3 linked regions of the Xenopus tropicalis genome follow. The protein of the gene in region 1 binds, or shares a complex with, the protein of each later gene. Links are inferred from orthologs where the notes say so. Each region holds a gene or a part of one and is shown on either strand. Other genes may lie near its edges.

Region 1 (5,601 bases):
TTGTTTTCCATGCATCTACATCCAAAAATAAATGTATGCCAATGATACACAAAAGTCTATCCCCCATAAATACTTGGATAAAAATGCATCAGTTCAACAGTCATGTTGGGTCGGAGGGGGCAGAGCTTTCATGTAATTTACAGATCTGATTTTAGTATCAATTACATTATTTTAGACATGTACAACTACATCTGGTATTTAGAATGTGATCTGTCACTGTAAGATCCAACCAAAGCTTTCATGTAGCTTGGCCCTTAATGTTACCGTTCATAATATTATTAAAATTAGGTAAAGGGGAAACATACATATACTTTGCACCCCTCAGGGTTTTTGTCATTGACAATTACTGTTTTTTCTAGAAGGAAGAAGAGCAAAGAAAGACTGGCGGACAGTTAACTATCAATGGAAACAGCACTGTCAGGTTAGAGAAGAAAGTTATAGGAATAACCAGGATATGTGAGAGGAGCATTAGTGAAGTGTCAGGAAAATGTAGCAGAAAAGAATGGGCAGTAATGGACAGTAGCAGAGAGAAGCAAAGGAAAAGAAGTGATAAAATCAGGGGGAGCAGGAAACAGTGGGAGTGGGAGGAATGGAACCACCTTCTAGAGAAACAGAAGGGGTAGGAGGAAAATGAAAGGAATAAACATATACAAAGAGTGATGAAGACAGTGGTAGTGATACACTGAAGGGTCAGTGGGATAATAGTAGGGAAAAGCTAAGGAGGAAACTGGGCAAAGGCAAAGAGAAGCAGAGAAACAGACTGGCCTGCGACTGTGTAACTGTGAATAATTTGGTTGAATTTCCTAAATTTTTACAGCAAGTTTTTTAAAGTTACACTGCTCCTTACAATGGAATAAAGCCAATTTCTATAAGAACAAGACAAGAGCTGAAACAGGTCACCTAGGAAGCTAGAATGTGGGGAGCCCAAAGCAAATTGGAGCCAGCAATCCTTTAGATACAGGGCAACCGAAATACTCAACAGGTTTCATGCACAGTATTCTAAGCCATTTCTCAGCTAGTCCTCAACTTCATTTACAAATAAATTTTAGGTGTCCAATTCTGTGTCTTTTTGGCCTGGTACTGAAAATGCTATGCTAATGCTGGAGTCACTGACCCCAACAACCAAAAACAGGCTGACTGTGCAGTTTCAGTTACACTCTTATTCTTTACATTTTATATCTTTCTATTCAGGCTATATCCATGTCCAAGTATATGTCTTTTGAGTGTTGTATGTGCTCATGCATGTCTATACACATGTCCAGTTCCCTCTGGGTGCAATCCTGAATAATAATATAGCTGAAAGTGCAGAATTCATTCCGCTAAGACCATAATTGTTCTCATTCCTGTTATTAAGTGGAGTCTCTTAAGCTACAGTAAATAATGAATTATCTCTGCTCAGAAAAGCATCCTTGAAATTACTAGCTGCTAAGCTGCCCTCTAGCTATTGTATTGTCACAGAATAGGTGACAGCATCTTCCCTATTTTGTTACCAGTGTTCATCTGAACTGACAGGCATAAGGTGTTCTCATTACCTGGCTTTTTCTTTCATAGTATCATATTGCAAGGCATTGCACAAAAAAGATACTGAAAGGAATCAGGAAAGGAAATAGAGCTCAAAGCAGCTCAATTATTTATGATGGGTGCAGTTTGCTCCTACTAAGTTGCAACCCCTTAAGATTTTGTGGACAAGTTAATAAATACAACATTTGATCTGGAATAATTTATTAACTTGCCTGCATAGCTATGCAGGAGCAACACTAGCAACCTGAGTGCTCTACCTATGGCACATTGTGCTGGCCTTGCACACTAACCACAAAGCTCAATGTTAGAAGGGCACCAAGGGAATATCTCTCAAGTCACAAGTAATGATGCCCTCCAGCCTACCCCCATTCACATCAAGTCAAGTAAAAGCAAAGTGACTGGTATGCCTGGGAATTATCTGTTCATAAATGAGCTCACCAATCTGAAACGAGAGTGGGGAAAACCTAAAAGCTACAAGAAACCACATGGCTGATTTATAAATTCAAAGTTGCTAAATTGCACCAGTGCAGTTGCGATTAGCACCCTGGGAAATAAAAGCAAATACCTAGTTGCTACTGGGAACTGCATTAATGTAAATTAGCACCTATGTTTTTGGTAAGTAAGCCCTCACTTCTTTACAGAAACAGAATTGTAATAGATGTTAGGCACTCAGTAAACTAATAACTGTCAGTATCCTAATGTAATGGTAATGTCACACACAACATTCTGTAGTGAATATGGCACACATGCAGAACTATCACTAGAAAACATGGGGACAAGGGCATTTGCATTTTTGGGTGATAATATTGCTTGTTTGTCATGATCTTAGAAGATTTCACTTTAAAAGGCTGGCAATCTATCATGTTTCTACGGATTGACAACACTTTACCTGCAGAAAAGAAATACCTTTGGCATTACCATAAATCAGTTCTTGAGTCCTCAGTACATCAGAACACTTTGAGTTATAGTTCAACAAGAGATGGAAAACTTCTTTGGTATTTCTGCTTAGCCATATAAACTACTAATGCTGGGACATTATTTAGAATTTCAAACGTAGCTTTAAATCACTCACCATTTATGCTTTCGAACCTGTGAACTTGTTTTGCGTAATAATCCTGTATGTTGTGCTCTTGCCACACAGGAGCTTCTTCTTTGGCTGCTCTTTCTCTGATCACCTCCAAGGTGCTATTGTAAAGGGAGATGGCTTCACTCGGCACTGTCATGTTCTCACTGTCTACATCTGGTGTTCTGTCCAGTTTTAGTTTGCTGAGAATTTGCCCCCTGATGGCTTCAATTCTTCTCTTTCTGACTTCTTCCATATCCACAGTCTTACAGGTAGACATGGACATAGTTAAAGTGGAAAGATGCAGCACCAACAGCACCGGCAGCATCCAAAGAACCTCCATAATGCAGTGTTCCACGACAAAAGTCAAGTAGCTCTGGATTGTAGGTTTTTAGGATGGCTTCCTTTTATTTATATGTCCTTCAGCAGTCTCAGCACCAGCTCAGATTGACTTACAGTCAGTTTAAACGCCCTAATTCATTGTATGTGCTGCGCTCAGAGTACCATGTGCCGGCCTAAAAATAAAGAGGAGAGGTTTTGCTGCCACCATTAAATGAAAACATAATTACAACTGGAACACTGTGTGACTATGTTAAAGAGATGGAACGGTCTCTTGGTGAGAAAAGCTGAAAGCAGTTCTGAAAGTTGCTGTCCCGTCTTCATGAAGCAGTGGCATTGAGCAGTGTGGGAGATCCTGGTTGGCTTCCAGAGCTTATAGAATATGTGCCTTGTATGCAGTCAACTCCCCCCCTCTAAATGTAATTTGACGGCCCTTGTAACCCTGCTTGCTAGAACATGATTCTCACCGTCCCCCTCTTGGCTTCCTCCTGTGTGCTGTAACTTAAAGCTCCACCCAGGATATGGGAGATAAAATACTCTCAACACACACACACTGAAATGGTTTAGGGAAATGCTCTTACGCTTTGGGGTGGAGAGCACTACATAGTAAGCCCTATCCTTTTTCCCTCCCTCTCAAACAAATCTTTCATGCCTGAGCTAATTATTGGTTTCATCTTTAAATATAAGGCATTAACTAAATCTATATAAACTTTAAAAAGAATTAGTGATGGTGTTTGGACCAGCAGAACTACAGCAATGTAGTCATCCAGCACCTCCTTTTCTATTCTATTTCTAACATTGTTTCTGCAAAAATACTGGCTTTGTTTCTACAATCTTTAGGTTACATACAGAGCAGAGTCTTAGTATTCTTAAAACTTACCCTAAACAGAAGTTGTGAATATATTTTCTATTGGTAACAGAAACAACTCCAAATGTTTAAGTTACAGACAACATTGTGCAGACAATACAAGTATAGGTAATGACAGACTCCACATTAAATATTTCCTTCAGAAATTAGATATGTGAAAACAGTTGAAGGTATGCCTGCTCTGCTGTAGTACCAAAACAGACAGACTGCAATGTGTAGCTGTCCCAGTTGCTACATTCAATAGGCCAGCTATTTGCAGTACTGCTATGTATGTGATGTACATGTAAGCAATAAAAGCTGGAGTATATACAGTGGTGGGCAGGATTATACAAGGGTTGGTCTTGGGTTGGGTATGGGCGGGTTTAGGTCAGTGCAAAGGGGGTAGCAAAATGGAAGCTTATATGAAGCTCTAGAATGAGAATTCATAAGGAGATTATATACTAAGCAAATTATACTGTAAAATTATAAGATAAAATAGTAGGAAATATAGCAAATAGCAATGCCTAAATTAGGTGTAGGAAGGGGAGGCAGGAGCCTTGGGTGCATTATTAGAAGGTTGCAATATTAATAAAAATGTCTGCACGTTTGTAAAATTACATATTTCCTACTTATCTCCATGCCCTAAATCCTCTACCTGCTACTTTACTCAGATGTGCTTTCTGTATAAGAAGAGATAGTGCTGCACTATATCAAATAATCAGAGCAATCTCTTCCCAAACAGCTTGTATACAGGTAAAAGGTTTATCCAAATGTAAAATAACAGCGGCAACTACAGAGGAGGTGATTTTAGAAATAGTGTGGGGTAGTGGAGAGGGGGGAGGTGAGGGGGCACATGTGTCTAGGGTCTGGCAAAATGTATCCAACAGAGTAATAAATGGCATTTTACTATCTGAAAGTCGGACAGACTGTGTTTGGAGGATGCTAGGAAAATACTACCTTTATGAATGTACAGTGGTGTGAAAAACTATTTGCCCCCTTCCTGATTTCTTATTCTTTTGCATGTTTGTCACACTTAAATGTTTCTGCTCATCAAACACATTTAACTATTAGTCAAAGATAACACAAGTAAACACAAAATGCAGTTTTTAAATTAGGGTTTTTATTATTTAGAGAGAAAAAAAATCCAAACCTACATGGCCCTGTGTGAAAAAGTAATTGCCCCCTGAACCTAATAACTGGTTGGGCCACCCTTAGCAGCAATAACTGCAATCAAGCATTTGCGATAACTTGCAACGAGTCTTTTACAGCGCTCTGGAGGAATTTTGGCCCACTCATCTTTGCAGAATTGTTGTAATTCAGCTTTGTTTGAGGGTTTTCTCGCATGAACCGCCTTTTTAAGGTCATGCCACAACATCTCAATAGGATTCAGGTCAGGACTTTGACTAGGCCACTCCAAAGTCTTCATTTTGTTTTTCTTCAGCCATTCAGAGGTGGATTTGCTGGTGTGTTTTGAGTCATTGTCCTGCTGCAGCACCCAAGATCGCTTCAGCTTGAGTTGACGAACAGATGGCCGGACATTCTCCTTCAGGATTTTTTGGTAGACAGTAGAATTCATGGTTCCATCTATCACAGCAAGCCTTCCAGGTCCTGAAGCAGCAAAACAACCCCAGACCATCACACTACCACCACCATATTTTACTGTTGGTATGATGTTCTTTTTCTGAAATGCTGTGTTACTTTTACGCCAGATGTAACGGGACACGCACCTTCCAAAAAGTTCAACTTTTGTCTCGTCGGTCCACACGGTATTTTCCCAAAAGTCTTGGCAATCATTGAGATGTTTTTTAGCAAAATTGAGACGAGCCATAAT
Region 2 (5,747 bases), on another chromosome or scaffold:
CTGTTAACCCTTTAATTTCTTCGGACTCTGTGTTCCCTTTGCCTTTCGACCCAAAACCATTGCAAGCGGCACTCGGAGGGTTAATTTCTCAGAATTGTATCTGTTACTAAAATTCCATTGTCCGTATATCCGAACATTGCGCAACTTCCTTTGGCAGCGGCCCCTAAACTGTGGGGGGTGGGCCCCATCTAGGTGGGCACAGAGCAGGGGTTGGGGGGCCAAACAAGAGTGAGAATTGGGGAGAAAACCTATTGCTGATTTGGTAGGAGTCCGGGGTCGGACTGGACCAGCGAGACACCGGGAAAACACCCAGCGGGCCCCGGCCCTTGTGGGCCCCACTGATCTAGCCCCACCCCCTCTCTCTCTTGCTCCTCCCTCATCCCCCAATAGCCAAATAAGAGAGACGCACTGCACGGCGGGGGGGCCCATCTAGGTGGGCACAGAGCAGGGGTTGGGGGGCCAAACCAGAGTGAGAATTGGGGAGAAAACCTATTGCTGAGTTGGTAGGAGTCCGGGGTCGGACTGGACCAACGAGACACCGGGAAAACACCCAGTGGGCCCGGCCCTTGTGGGCCCCACTGATCTAGCCCCACCCCCTCTCTTTCTTGCTCCTCCCTCATCCCCCAATAGCCAAATAAGAGAGACGCACTGCGGGGGGGGGGGAGCATCTAGGTGGGCATAGAGCAGGGGTTGGGGGGCCAAACCAGAGTGAGAATTGGGGAGAAAACCAATTGCTGAGTTGGTAGGAGTCCGGGGTTGGACTGGACCAGCGAGACACCAGGAAAACACCCAGTTGGCCCCGGCCCTTGTGGGCCCCACTGACCTCGAGCCACTCCCCTCTCTCTCCCTTGCTCCTCCCTCATCCCCCAATAGCCAAATAAGAGAGACGCACTGCACGGGGGGGGGCATCTAGGTGGGCACAGAGCAGGGGTTGGGGGGCCAAACCAGAGTGAGAATTGGGGAGAAAACCTGAGTATTGCTGAGTTGGTAGGAGTCCGGGGTCGGACTGGACCAGCGAGACATGGTGAAAACACCCAGTTGGCCCCGGCCCTTGTGGGCCCCACTGACCTAGCCCCGCCCCCTCTTTCTCTTGCTCCTCCCTCATCCCCCAATAGCCAAATAAGAGAGACGCACTGCACTGGAGGGGTGGGTTCGGGACTGGAGGGGGGCCCTAGATACCCCAGTGAAATCATCTCTTTCTATACGGCAGTTACTCTATGGGGCCCCACGTGTCCCCAAGACATTTTACAGACAGACAGAAGCTCAAAATAAAACTGAAACCTCCGAGAGCAGATTAAACAAAGGTCGAGGGGAAATTAATTTTCTCAATTTTTTTTTGACATGTAAATGAGTTGTTTATCTTTAAATTATTCTGAGATCATTTGCAGTTGGTCATTACTTTTTACGACTTATGGTTTTTGAATTATTTAGCTTTTTGTTCTTTAGTTTGGAATTTTAGCAGCGATCTGGTTGCTAGGGTCCAAATTACCCTAGCAACCAGGAAGGCTTTCCTGCATTCGTAGTTTGAATTATTCTGTAACTAAAAAAATATATCGTTTGGTCATTTTCTAATAAAACATTTTACTTTTTAAAAATTGAATTTATTTATTATTAAAATCCAATATTAAGTTTACGTCTATAGAAGTCAGAGAGGGTCCAGGATCATTAATTTTGTTAAAAAGTTCAATTTGCAAAAATGAATATAAAAAAATGTGATTTTTGAGGTGCAGGGAAGGAAGGCTCTGGGCACACAATAAGCTGTACCCCCATACTGTACTGTCTAAGGGAAACACTATGGCACCCCCTACCCATATGTATAAATACAAATATACAGAGAAGGAATGTTCTGGGCACACAATAAGCTGTACCCCCATACTGTACTGTCTAAGGGAAACACTATGGCACCTCCTACCCATATGTATAAATACAAATATACAGAGAAGAAATGCTCTGGGCACACAATAAGCTGTACCCCCATACTGTACTGTCTAAGGGAAACACTATGGCACCTCCTACCCATATGTATAAATACAAATATACAGAGAAGGAATGTTCTGGGCACACAATAAGCTGTACCCCCATACTGTACTGTCTAAGGGAAACACTATGGCACCCCCTACCCATATGTATAAATACAAATATACAGAGAAGGAATTTTCTGGGCTCACAATAAGCTGTACCCCCATACTGTACTGTCTAAGGGAAACACTATGGCACCCCTACCCATATGTATAAATACAAATATACAGAGAAGGAATGTTCTGGGCACACAATAAGCTGTACCCCCATACTGTACTGTCTAAGAGAAACACTATGGCACCTCCTACCCATATGTATAAATACAAATATACAGAGAAGGAATGCTCTGGGCACACAATAAGCTGTACCCCCATACTGTACTGTCTAAGGGAAACACTATGGCACCCCCTACCCATATGTATAAATACAAATATACAGAGAAGGAATTTTCTGGGCTCACAATAAGCTGTACCCCCATACTGTACTGTCTAAGGGAAACACTATGGCACCCCCTACCCATATGTATAAATACAAATATACAGAGAAGGAATGTTCTGGGCACACAATAAGCTGTACCCCCATACTGTACTGTCTAAGAGAAACACTATGGCACCTCCTACCCATATGTATAAATACAAATATACAGAGAAGGAATGCTCTGGGCACACAATAAGCTGTACCCCCATACTGTACTGTCTAAGGGAAACACTATGGCACCCCCTACCCATATGTATAAATACAAATATACAGAGAGGGAATGTTCTGGGCACACAATAAGCTGTACCCCCATACTGTACTGTCTAAGGGAAACACTATGGCACCTCCTACCCATATGTATAAATACAAATATACAGAGAAGGAATGTTCTGGGCACACAATAAGCTGTACCCCCATACTGTACTGTCTAAGGGAAACACTATGGCACCCCCTACCCATATGTATAAATACAAATATACAGAGAAGGAATGTTCTGGGCACACAATAAGCTGTACCCCCATACTGTACTGTCTAAGGGAAACACTATGGCACCTCCTACCCATATGTATAAATACAAATATACAGAGAAGGAATGCTCTGGGCACACAATAGGCTATATACTCACTTGTCTTTAATCTGAGGGAGTTCAGTCGGTGCAGATGAGCTGCCATTAGTCAGTACCGGCAGTTGATGGACTGAGAGCCATTAGCCGAGACTAAATGTTGTCAGAGGCTGATTAATAAACATAAATGCAGTTTTGTTCCGGGGGTGGAAGTTCAAGATTAAAGCAAAATCCCCAATTAAGAGAGCGGATCCCAATTAGCCAATCATATGGACTCTTTGAAGAAGAAAGAAAAGGAAACACTCAGTACCGGCCCGTTTCCTACTCCCTTACTGCTCTATGCACTGGCGGTTCTGAATAGTGTAACTGACATGTAAAGAAACACAAAAGGCAGAGCAAGAAATGGAGTCTGGGCTGGAGGAGGTCCAACTTCTGCTACATTGTTTAAAGTCAGAACCGGCAGAGCAGAAAGCAACAGGCAGCAAGGCACTGCTGATCCCCCCTGTTAGCCAATCACTGGCCCAGGGCTGCTGCTGATCAAGATGCGGCCATGTTTTAACCCTACAAAGATGAGCCAATGATAAGCTATTCTTTAGGTGACCCCTCAGGGGAGGTTGGGAAGGAGGAGCCTGGGAATGAGGGATTGATAGGGTTAATGTCTGGGGCTGGGCACCTATGGGGGAGCAGCACGGGGCCAATCTAAACACAAACAATTAAATAAAGTTCACTTACACGGGCTGCTAGTATTCATTTTCTAATTGAAGTGGTTTCTGGGACTTTGCAGTTTTAGACTGCTAATATCAGGAGTTTGGATCATCTGAGAGTCAGTGACGCTAGGATTAACTGAATACAGAAACTGGGCTGCCACCCTATGGGCCCCCCGGGGGCCCTGCCTCCCAACCACCCCCCCCCCCCCCCCCCCCCTTGGCACAAGTTAGTGGTAAGGCGCTGATGCTTCCCAGTGGGGATTGGTTCTGGGTTGGCAAGGTCCACTGGATTTTTTCCCAGTGTCCCACTTGCCCGGTCCGACCCTGAGGGTTGCTGATACTTTAAAGAGGGCTGTTAAGCCTTAAGCCTGTTATTAGCAGTCTAAAAGTGCTAATGTCTCAGAAACCACTAATAATAGAAAAAAATAAATGAAAGTTCACAAGTGCCCAGAGGACTTTTTTTGACCAGGTTTCCTTCAGTTAATTTTTTGGGGTTCATTCACCTTTGAGTTAACTTTTAGTATGTTATAGAATGGTCAGTTCTTAGGAACTTTTCAATTGGTCTTCATTTTTTATCTTTTATTGTTTTTGAATTATTTGCCTTCTTCTTCTGCTTTCAAATGGGGGTCACTGACCCCGGCAGCCAAACCCTATTGCTCTGTGAGTCTCCAGTTTTATTGTTATTGTTACTTTTTATTCCTTATCTTTCTATTCAGCCCCTCCCCCATTCATATTTCAGTTTTATATTTAACCTACTGGCTGGTCGTTAGGGTATTTTGATCCCTAGCAACCAGAGAGCTGCTAAAATTCTATATTAGAGTACTGGTGAACAAAAAGCTAAATATTTCAAAAACCACCAATAATCAAAAAAAATGAAGACCAATTGCAAATTATCTCAGAATATCACTCACCTACATCCTACTAAAAGTGAATTTACCCCTTTACATGTCAAAAAAGACATTATAAAATTGAGAAAAATCATTTCCCCTTGATCTGCTCTCAGACTTTCCAGTTTTATTTTGAGCTGGCTTATGTGTTTATGTTGCTAGGGTCCAGCGTCCTGGAAACCAGAGAGAAATTAAATACTGGAAATATTATTATTATTATTATTATTAACATTTATTTATAAAGCGCCAACATATCCCGCAGCGCTGTACAATAAGTGGGTTCCATACATTGGGCATACAGAGTAACATATACAGCAATCAGTAACCGATACAGGAGAGGAAGGGAGCCCTGCCCAAAAGAGCTTACACTCTACAAGGAATTACTGCATTTCATACATTGGGCATACAGAGTAACATATAAAGCAATCAGTAACCGATACAGGAGGGGAAGAGAGCCCTGCCCAAAAGAGCTTACACTCTACAAGGAATTACTGCATTTCATACATTGGGCATACAGAGTAACATATAAAGCAATCAGTAACCGATACAGGAGGGGAAGGGAGCCCTGCCCAAAAGAGCTTACACTCTACAAGGAATTACTGCATTTCATACATTGGGCATACAGAGTAACATATAAAGCAATCAGTAACCGATACAGGAGGGGAAGGGAGCCCTGCCCAAAAGAGCTTACACTCTACACAGAGAAAACCCAATATCCATGGGACGGTACATGGTTAAAGTGCATCTCCACGGCAGCGGCAGCACAAATACTCAGACCCGGGGTTGGGTTTGTGCCCTATGGGAGCCCCGGCTGCTGCAGCCCCAGTAGGGGTTTGTTTATCCCTGTTCTCTGGGTCTGACTCCTGAAACAAAGTAGCAATTGAAGTCGTATAACAGCGGCAATAGAAATACCTGGCAGTGCTACGGGCGCTTTCTCCTTCCCTCCCCAGGGGTCGGTGTGAACCGTGCAGAGGGCAGAAGGCATGTGTGGGGGGGGGGTTCGGGGAGTTGCTGGGAGTGGGAGGACTGTATGGAGGCAGATAAGTCATAGACCCCCCCTTAGCCTGTGGGATAATCCGTGCCCTGTCTGCAAGT
Region 3 (5,663 bases), on another chromosome or scaffold:
CGTATGCAGACGATGTTGCCTGGGCAAAAGTGGGAAGAAGAGCAGCTGGTTGTTGGAAATGTCCAATATCTCCAGGTGGAACTCAACATCAGTCTCTTGTGATTGGAACCATTCAAGGTTGTTGAAGCTTAAATTGAGCATCTGAATTTGTGTTAGTCTAAAGTCGCCAATGCATGGCAATAGGTTATAAGCCAAATCTAGTTTCTTCAATTTCACAAGTCCCTCAAATGTACCATCTTCAATTTCATAAATGTAGTTCCACTGCAAACTTAACTCCTTCAGATGAACTAGGCCCTCAAACACAGTTTGGTCCAAGCGCATGATAATATTGTTATCCAAAAAAAGCCTTTCAAGGGATGTTAAGTTCTGATGAAGAACTGATACCATATCCATTGTAAGCATATTCCTAGACAAATCCAGTTCTTTAAGGGATGGGGTCAGTCTTAAAGCTGCGGATGTTAATTCATATTCCATAGATATAGTGTTGTTCTGTAGTGAGAGGACTTTCAGGCTCCTAATGCCATTAAAGGCTCCTGGCTCCACAAATTCCATTCGATTAGATCGCAAGCTAAGGTTTGTTAAGTCATGATATCTTAGAAAGGAGTTTTTATGCAGAAACCTTATTTGATTGAAATCTAGAAGCAGCTCTTGAATATCAGTAGGTAGGTTCTGAGGAACTGACAAAAGCTGTAAATGGCTACAATCCGCAACCCTGTAAAACTGAAACAATAACAGCATGTTACCAAATGCAAGCAGGTCTGAAAGAGAATGTATGGATAGAGTGCAAGATAAATCTTCTTCTGTTCTGTAAAAATGTTTATTAGAAGGCAAATACATTGTAAAACTTACCAGTTTGCAGCCACTTTCGGTAGACAATTTGCCTTCAGCACCATTATATTTCCATTGTAATGTTAAGTACATGAAAGCCAATAGAAGCCAAAAGAACACATTGGCCATAGCATTAAAATCGTTCCTAAAGGAAACACAGAAAATACAGTCATGTGATTTAATTTCAGCTGTAATGATTCCTGCTTCACCCACAGCACTGTAAAGCTGGCCATACACGCACCAATATAATCCTACAAAATGTAGTTTTGTGCGATTTTCGGACTGTGTGTGAACTCCAAATTATCCTCTCAACATTTTTTATGTAATAGCAATTGGTTGTTTAATTAATCAGATCAGGTTAGAAAATTTTGGCCAGATAACAATAATATTTGTGCATGTTTTGTGTATCTGACAGTCTCCTTGGCTGACCTACAATATATTTCTGGGACATAACTTTCGTACGATTGTTGTCTGCCAATTTATGGTCAGAACATTGTCCAGTTTGTTATTTTGAGTATTTTTATACTACAATTTCAATCTTTGTTTTAGGTTGTTGTACTAAAATGCACAGTTGATATCCAAATGTTTGTGTAAGCCTAATAAAATCTAAATGTGCCTAGAAAGGTTATTACCCCCCTGCTTTCCAAAGATTTTGTGATCTCCAGATGTACTATATAAAGATATTAATGTCAGCCCTTTTCTAAACCTGTGTATTATAGAGAATAACATTTCCCTGTATTTAATTGAAACTATCCCAATATTTGAAGGACACGTGAAATGCTACACATTTTCTCCTAAATAGATACAGGCACAAATCCATACCTCCCAATTGTCTCAAGTAATGGACATCAAAAGGGGTGGGCTTACCAGAAATTGGTCGGGGCATTTGGGATATCTGGAGAGTGTGTGGGTGTGACTAAGGCAGATCAGGGCCATGGCCTAAAATTGTCCCTTTTTTTCAAATGTAGCAAATCAATATTTACCTTTATGGTGTAGTACACACCAGCACTCAAACTCTAGTTTATCAGCTCTCACAGTATTACCTCTAAGGGCAGTGGTACAAGTAGAGATTAGTCGCCCGTGTTAAATCTTCATTACTGCGGGCGACTAATCTCCTTGACATCCCACCAGCAAGAATGTAAATCGCTGGTGGGATGGCATACGTGTCGCTTTGGTTTCACAAAGACGCCCGAAGTTGCCTCTCAAGGAAACTTTGCGCAACTTCGGGAAACCGAAGCGTATGCCATCACACTTGGAGATTGACATTCTTGCCAGTGGAATGGCATGGCAGGGAGATTAGTCTCCCGCAGTAACGAAGATTTATCGCGGGGCGACTAATCTCCTCGTGTGCGACTGCCCTAAGGGCCCTGACACATGAGGAGATTAGTTGTCTGTGACAAATCAGAGAGTTGGTAAGCTAGAAAGTGAGTGCTGGTGTGTGTGAGTTCTACCCCATGAAGGTGAATATTGATTTACTCCAACATTTATATTTGAAAAAGAGGGACAATTTAGGCCATACCCCTGATCTGCCCTAGTCACACCAAGACACTCTCCAGATATGCCAGATGCCTCAACCAGTTTCCCATGTCCATTTAACCTCTTCCATATAGTCAATATATATGGCTTACTATTAAACTTGCGTTATATTCTGCATTTTTAAAGAAATGTCCTGCTATTAAAGCAGCTATATATTGAGGTGTAGTTTACAGTATACTATATATATGTATATATATATATATATATATATATGTGTGTGTGTGTTTATAATTAGTGAGGGTGAGGATATATTATATTGTGTACTCACTATTATATATTTTCAGTATATACACCAAGAATGTCCAACCTGCAGGCCACCAGCTGTTTTTAAAGAGCAATTGAGCATCTCTCTGGGAGTTGTAGTTAATAACTGTAGAAGGGATACAAGCTGGACATCCCTTCTTTTTCCTCTCAGATGGGGTCCCCAGCTTATTTGCATTGTCAATCACTCCTTATTCCATGTCTATGTTGAGGCTGGGGCTAAATACTTAATATGGGGTTTCTGACTTGGATCTATTGTACTATAATTCCTCTCACCCCCATCACAGTCTTCAGATTCCAGGTTAAATGGCTTTATGGAATTGCTAAAAAACATTGTGTATTACAAATTGTAATAATTTGTTAATTAATCTGGGTATTTTGAGGCTGAGGCTAGGGGCCTATAGCCGATACCCTCTTTGTCTCATCTCAAACTAGCAGTGGATGTTTATTGCTATAATGTGTTGGGACACTGCAGACATTTTGCAAAGAAAAGGATTGTGCTTTCAGCAATCCATGTTAGAAGTGATGCTATTCCGTGCCAGTGGCTGTACGGTATGTGAAAGTATTGTGTTAGTGCATCTTTTGGGGTTTTCTAGCCCACACTCAAAAGAACCCACAACCAGAAACAGAGCCACTTACCGCACTTAGATGAGCGCATAGCATCATGGGTATCACTTCAGCTGACAGGATCCAAAATTGAGGACTTTACGTTTTGTACCAACACTGGAAAGAAACATAGGATTCTCTGAAAAATAAAGTCACCAATATGAGCCAAGGTTGCATGGCGATCAAAGAGAAAGGGCGCAGTAATAACTCAAATACATTTCAGCTGGGTCACTAGGTCAGAACGGAAACCTGTTTGTAAAATCAAACTAGCAATGACTAGAAGGGCAGATGAGGTGCACATGGTGAAGCCGCAGTGCAGGTGACTAACCAAAAGTCAGCGTAGGCTCACAACTCACATTAAGAAATGAAGCCGGTCACTTGGATGTGAGGCGCAGTGTCAGTGCGGTGAGCTGGGCACATGTGCATCCTGAAACAACTCAGCAGCTTCTTCTCTCTCTTTTTTTCTTCCTTCTAGAGGTTATTTTAGATCTTGCGGAAGGAAATAACGGAAGCTAAAGTCACATGAAGCGCTGGGCCAGCACAGAGAGATAAAAAACCCTTCAGAGTAGTCACCAGTCTGTACATCAGTTTCTGATAGTTCTTCTTTTACTTTATTTCATCTCAATTCCAGTTTAGTAACATCCCAAACTCTCTTTCTTGGGGGGGGGGGGGGGGCAGGGAGAAAGGCAAGATATGACCACAAATTTATAAGGCATTTATTTTATATGCAAGTTTATCATGGTGAAATGATTCAGTTATTGTTTAAAATGCAAGTGGGGCTGGTGTGAACATTATTTACTACATACACATACATTTATGCAGTAGGACCACCACCTAATAAGTGATCCCAAATGTTCATGCCTGGACCTTATTCTTTCATACTTTATACTTTTATGCTGGACTTAAATAAGAGTGGACCACTGGAAAGCAGAAAAGGCTGAAGATGAGTATTTAGTCCTTTAAGTATTCAAAAAATCCTTAGGAGGGTGGAGGTTTCCCCATCCCCATCTTTTTTATTACTTGGTATTTATATAGCGCCAACAGATTATACTTCATTCACATCAGCTCTTGCCCCGATGGATACGGTACCTATCACATTTACATACAGTTGCTCCAATTTATTAGAATACAATTAACCTGCCTGAATGTATTGAGAGTGTCGGAGGGAACCAGAATGCCTGGAGCAAACCCACACAGATATGGGGAGAACATACAAACTCCTTTTCCATCTACGAAAGACAGACCCTGGGGGAACATATGTAAAAGTATCAGGTTGGAAAGCCTTTCCTCCGGCACTATGGTGAGGGTGACACAGAGAATTGTGTGTAATGCCTGTCTAAACTGTGTTGCAGGCATCAACATTGCCATAGATTGAAAGGTGGAACCATTGTAGGTAAACATTTTTCAGATATAATTTTAGCGCAGAAGAAGATGTCATTTTAATTAGCGTGTTAGGAGTAATGCATGTCATTCTAGTCCTACAATAATACAAGTTTAATTTTCTAATCCCTAAAAATGGACTAATAGAAATGTATTTATATTATAGTAATTAACGAGAACTACCACCCGAAAACAGTTATTTTTTGTTGCATAATGGAAGAAAATCATAAGCACATTTCCAATATACAGTGCATGGGCAGAAAAACAGATACTGCTTACAATTGCAATTGCATCTGCATCTCGGTGACAACGGAAGACAAGTTTATATTTCTTATGCTTATGTTTCGCAGCTTGTCTGTGACTTTTACCCAACATTCTATACACAAGCAGGAGACCAAGTGCCAATAGACAAATGCGGAATTTGATGCTGTTTGTGTATTTCCCAAACTCTGGCTCCATCTTGTACGTCTAGCCTCACTGAAAATGCCAGAAATTCACTATCCACACCTTGCCTAGGGGGCTCTGCAATGCAATGACTGCAATCAGCAGTTTCTTTGCACACTGCTTTCCCCTGTTCCTGTGTATTTATGAGGGCAGGAGGGGGAAGGCCCAACACTGTGCCTCATTCAGATGCCCAATCTGCAACAGGGCCTTACTTTCTTCCCTATAGAGAGAGTGACCCCCTCTTACATCAGATCCTTCTAATGCCAATGCCAATCCAATGTTTTGGGTCGACTTTAGCAGGACTAATCAGTAGAGCTCCCTACATCTGTACCACATTTTTTTAACTAATGGCTGTCCTGCTGATTGAGATTAGAGACTGAAACAGTCTCTAAGGTTCCCATAGATGCCCAGATGGTTGGACAAAAAGGTTGAAATTGATCTGTTCCTATATGGCCACATATAGGGGAAGATTTATCAAAATGTGAGTTTAGAGCTTAACACATAAAAACTTTCCCACGTTCTAGCTATTCATTTGGGTGTTTTTAGAAGTGTATTTATCAAATGGTGAGTTCTAAACTTCACCTCTTGCTAAATACACTTCTAAAAAT

Evidence for each region. Proteins that work in one complex are often made in the same cells at the same time.
Region 2: the proteins of tgfb1 (region 1) and lrrc32.1 are in contact, whole or in part, in a cryo-EM structure (PDB 8VSC), measured with the Homo sapiens proteins. The link is inferred for Xenopus tropicalis from reciprocal best matches to the Homo sapiens genes TGFB1 and LRRC32. Residues at the interface, in NP_000651.3 of Homo sapiens: Leu30, Ser31, Thr32, Cys33, Lys34, Pro325, Pro327, Tyr328, Ile329, Trp330, Ser331, Leu332, Thr334, Gln335, Tyr336, Val339, Leu342, His346, Ala353, Pro354; in NP_001122394.1 of Homo sapiens: Ser135, Tyr137, Glu158, Ser160, Thr162, Val184, Met186, Asp187, Ile188, Glu189, Asp190, Phe193, Leu202, Leu204, Arg206, Asn207, Ser208, Leu209, Thr210, Cys211, Ile212, Ser213, Asp214, Phe215, Ser216, Leu217, Leu223, Leu225, Cys227, Ser229.
Region 3: the proteins of tgfb1 (region 1) and nrros are in contact, whole or in part, in a cryo-EM structure (PDB 7Y1R), measured with the Homo sapiens proteins. The link is inferred for Xenopus tropicalis from reciprocal best matches to the Homo sapiens genes TGFB1 and NRROS. Residues at the interface, in NP_000651.3 of Homo sapiens: Leu30, Ser31, Thr32, Cys33, Thr35; in NP_940967.1 of Homo sapiens: Phe194, Glu195, Ile196, Glu197, Gly198, Gly199, Phe201, Leu210, Leu212, Pro218, Cys219, Ile220, Val221, Asp222, Phe223, Gly224, Leu225.

What each region holds. Positions count from the first base shown.
Region 1 is NC_030684.2:79,306,186-79,311,786, forward strand, and holds the start of tgfb1 (transforming growth factor beta-1 proprotein), read right to left. Parts: upstream 3,447-5,601; 5' UTR 2,928-3,446; coding exon 2,594-2,927; intron 1-2,593. UniProt on the Homo sapiens protein: Transforming growth factor beta-1 proprotein: Precursor of the Latency-associated peptide (LAP) and Transforming growth factor beta-1 (TGF-beta-1) chains, which constitute the regulatory and active subunit of TGF-beta-1, respectively.
Region 2 is NC_030678.2:173,452,497-173,458,243, forward strand, and holds the start of lrrc32.1 (transforming growth factor beta activator LRRC32), read right to left. Parts: upstream 3,522-5,747; 5' UTR 3,122-3,521; intron 1-3,121.
Region 3 is NC_030681.2:129,828,641-129,834,303, forward strand, and holds the start of nrros (negative regulator of reactive oxygen species precursor), read right to left. Parts: upstream 3,522-5,663; 5' UTR 3,265-3,521; intron 974-3,264; 5' UTR 958-973; coding exon 850-957; intron 721-849; coding exon 1-720. UniProt on the Homo sapiens protein: Key regulator of transforming growth factor beta-1 (TGFB1) specifically required for microglia function in the nervous system.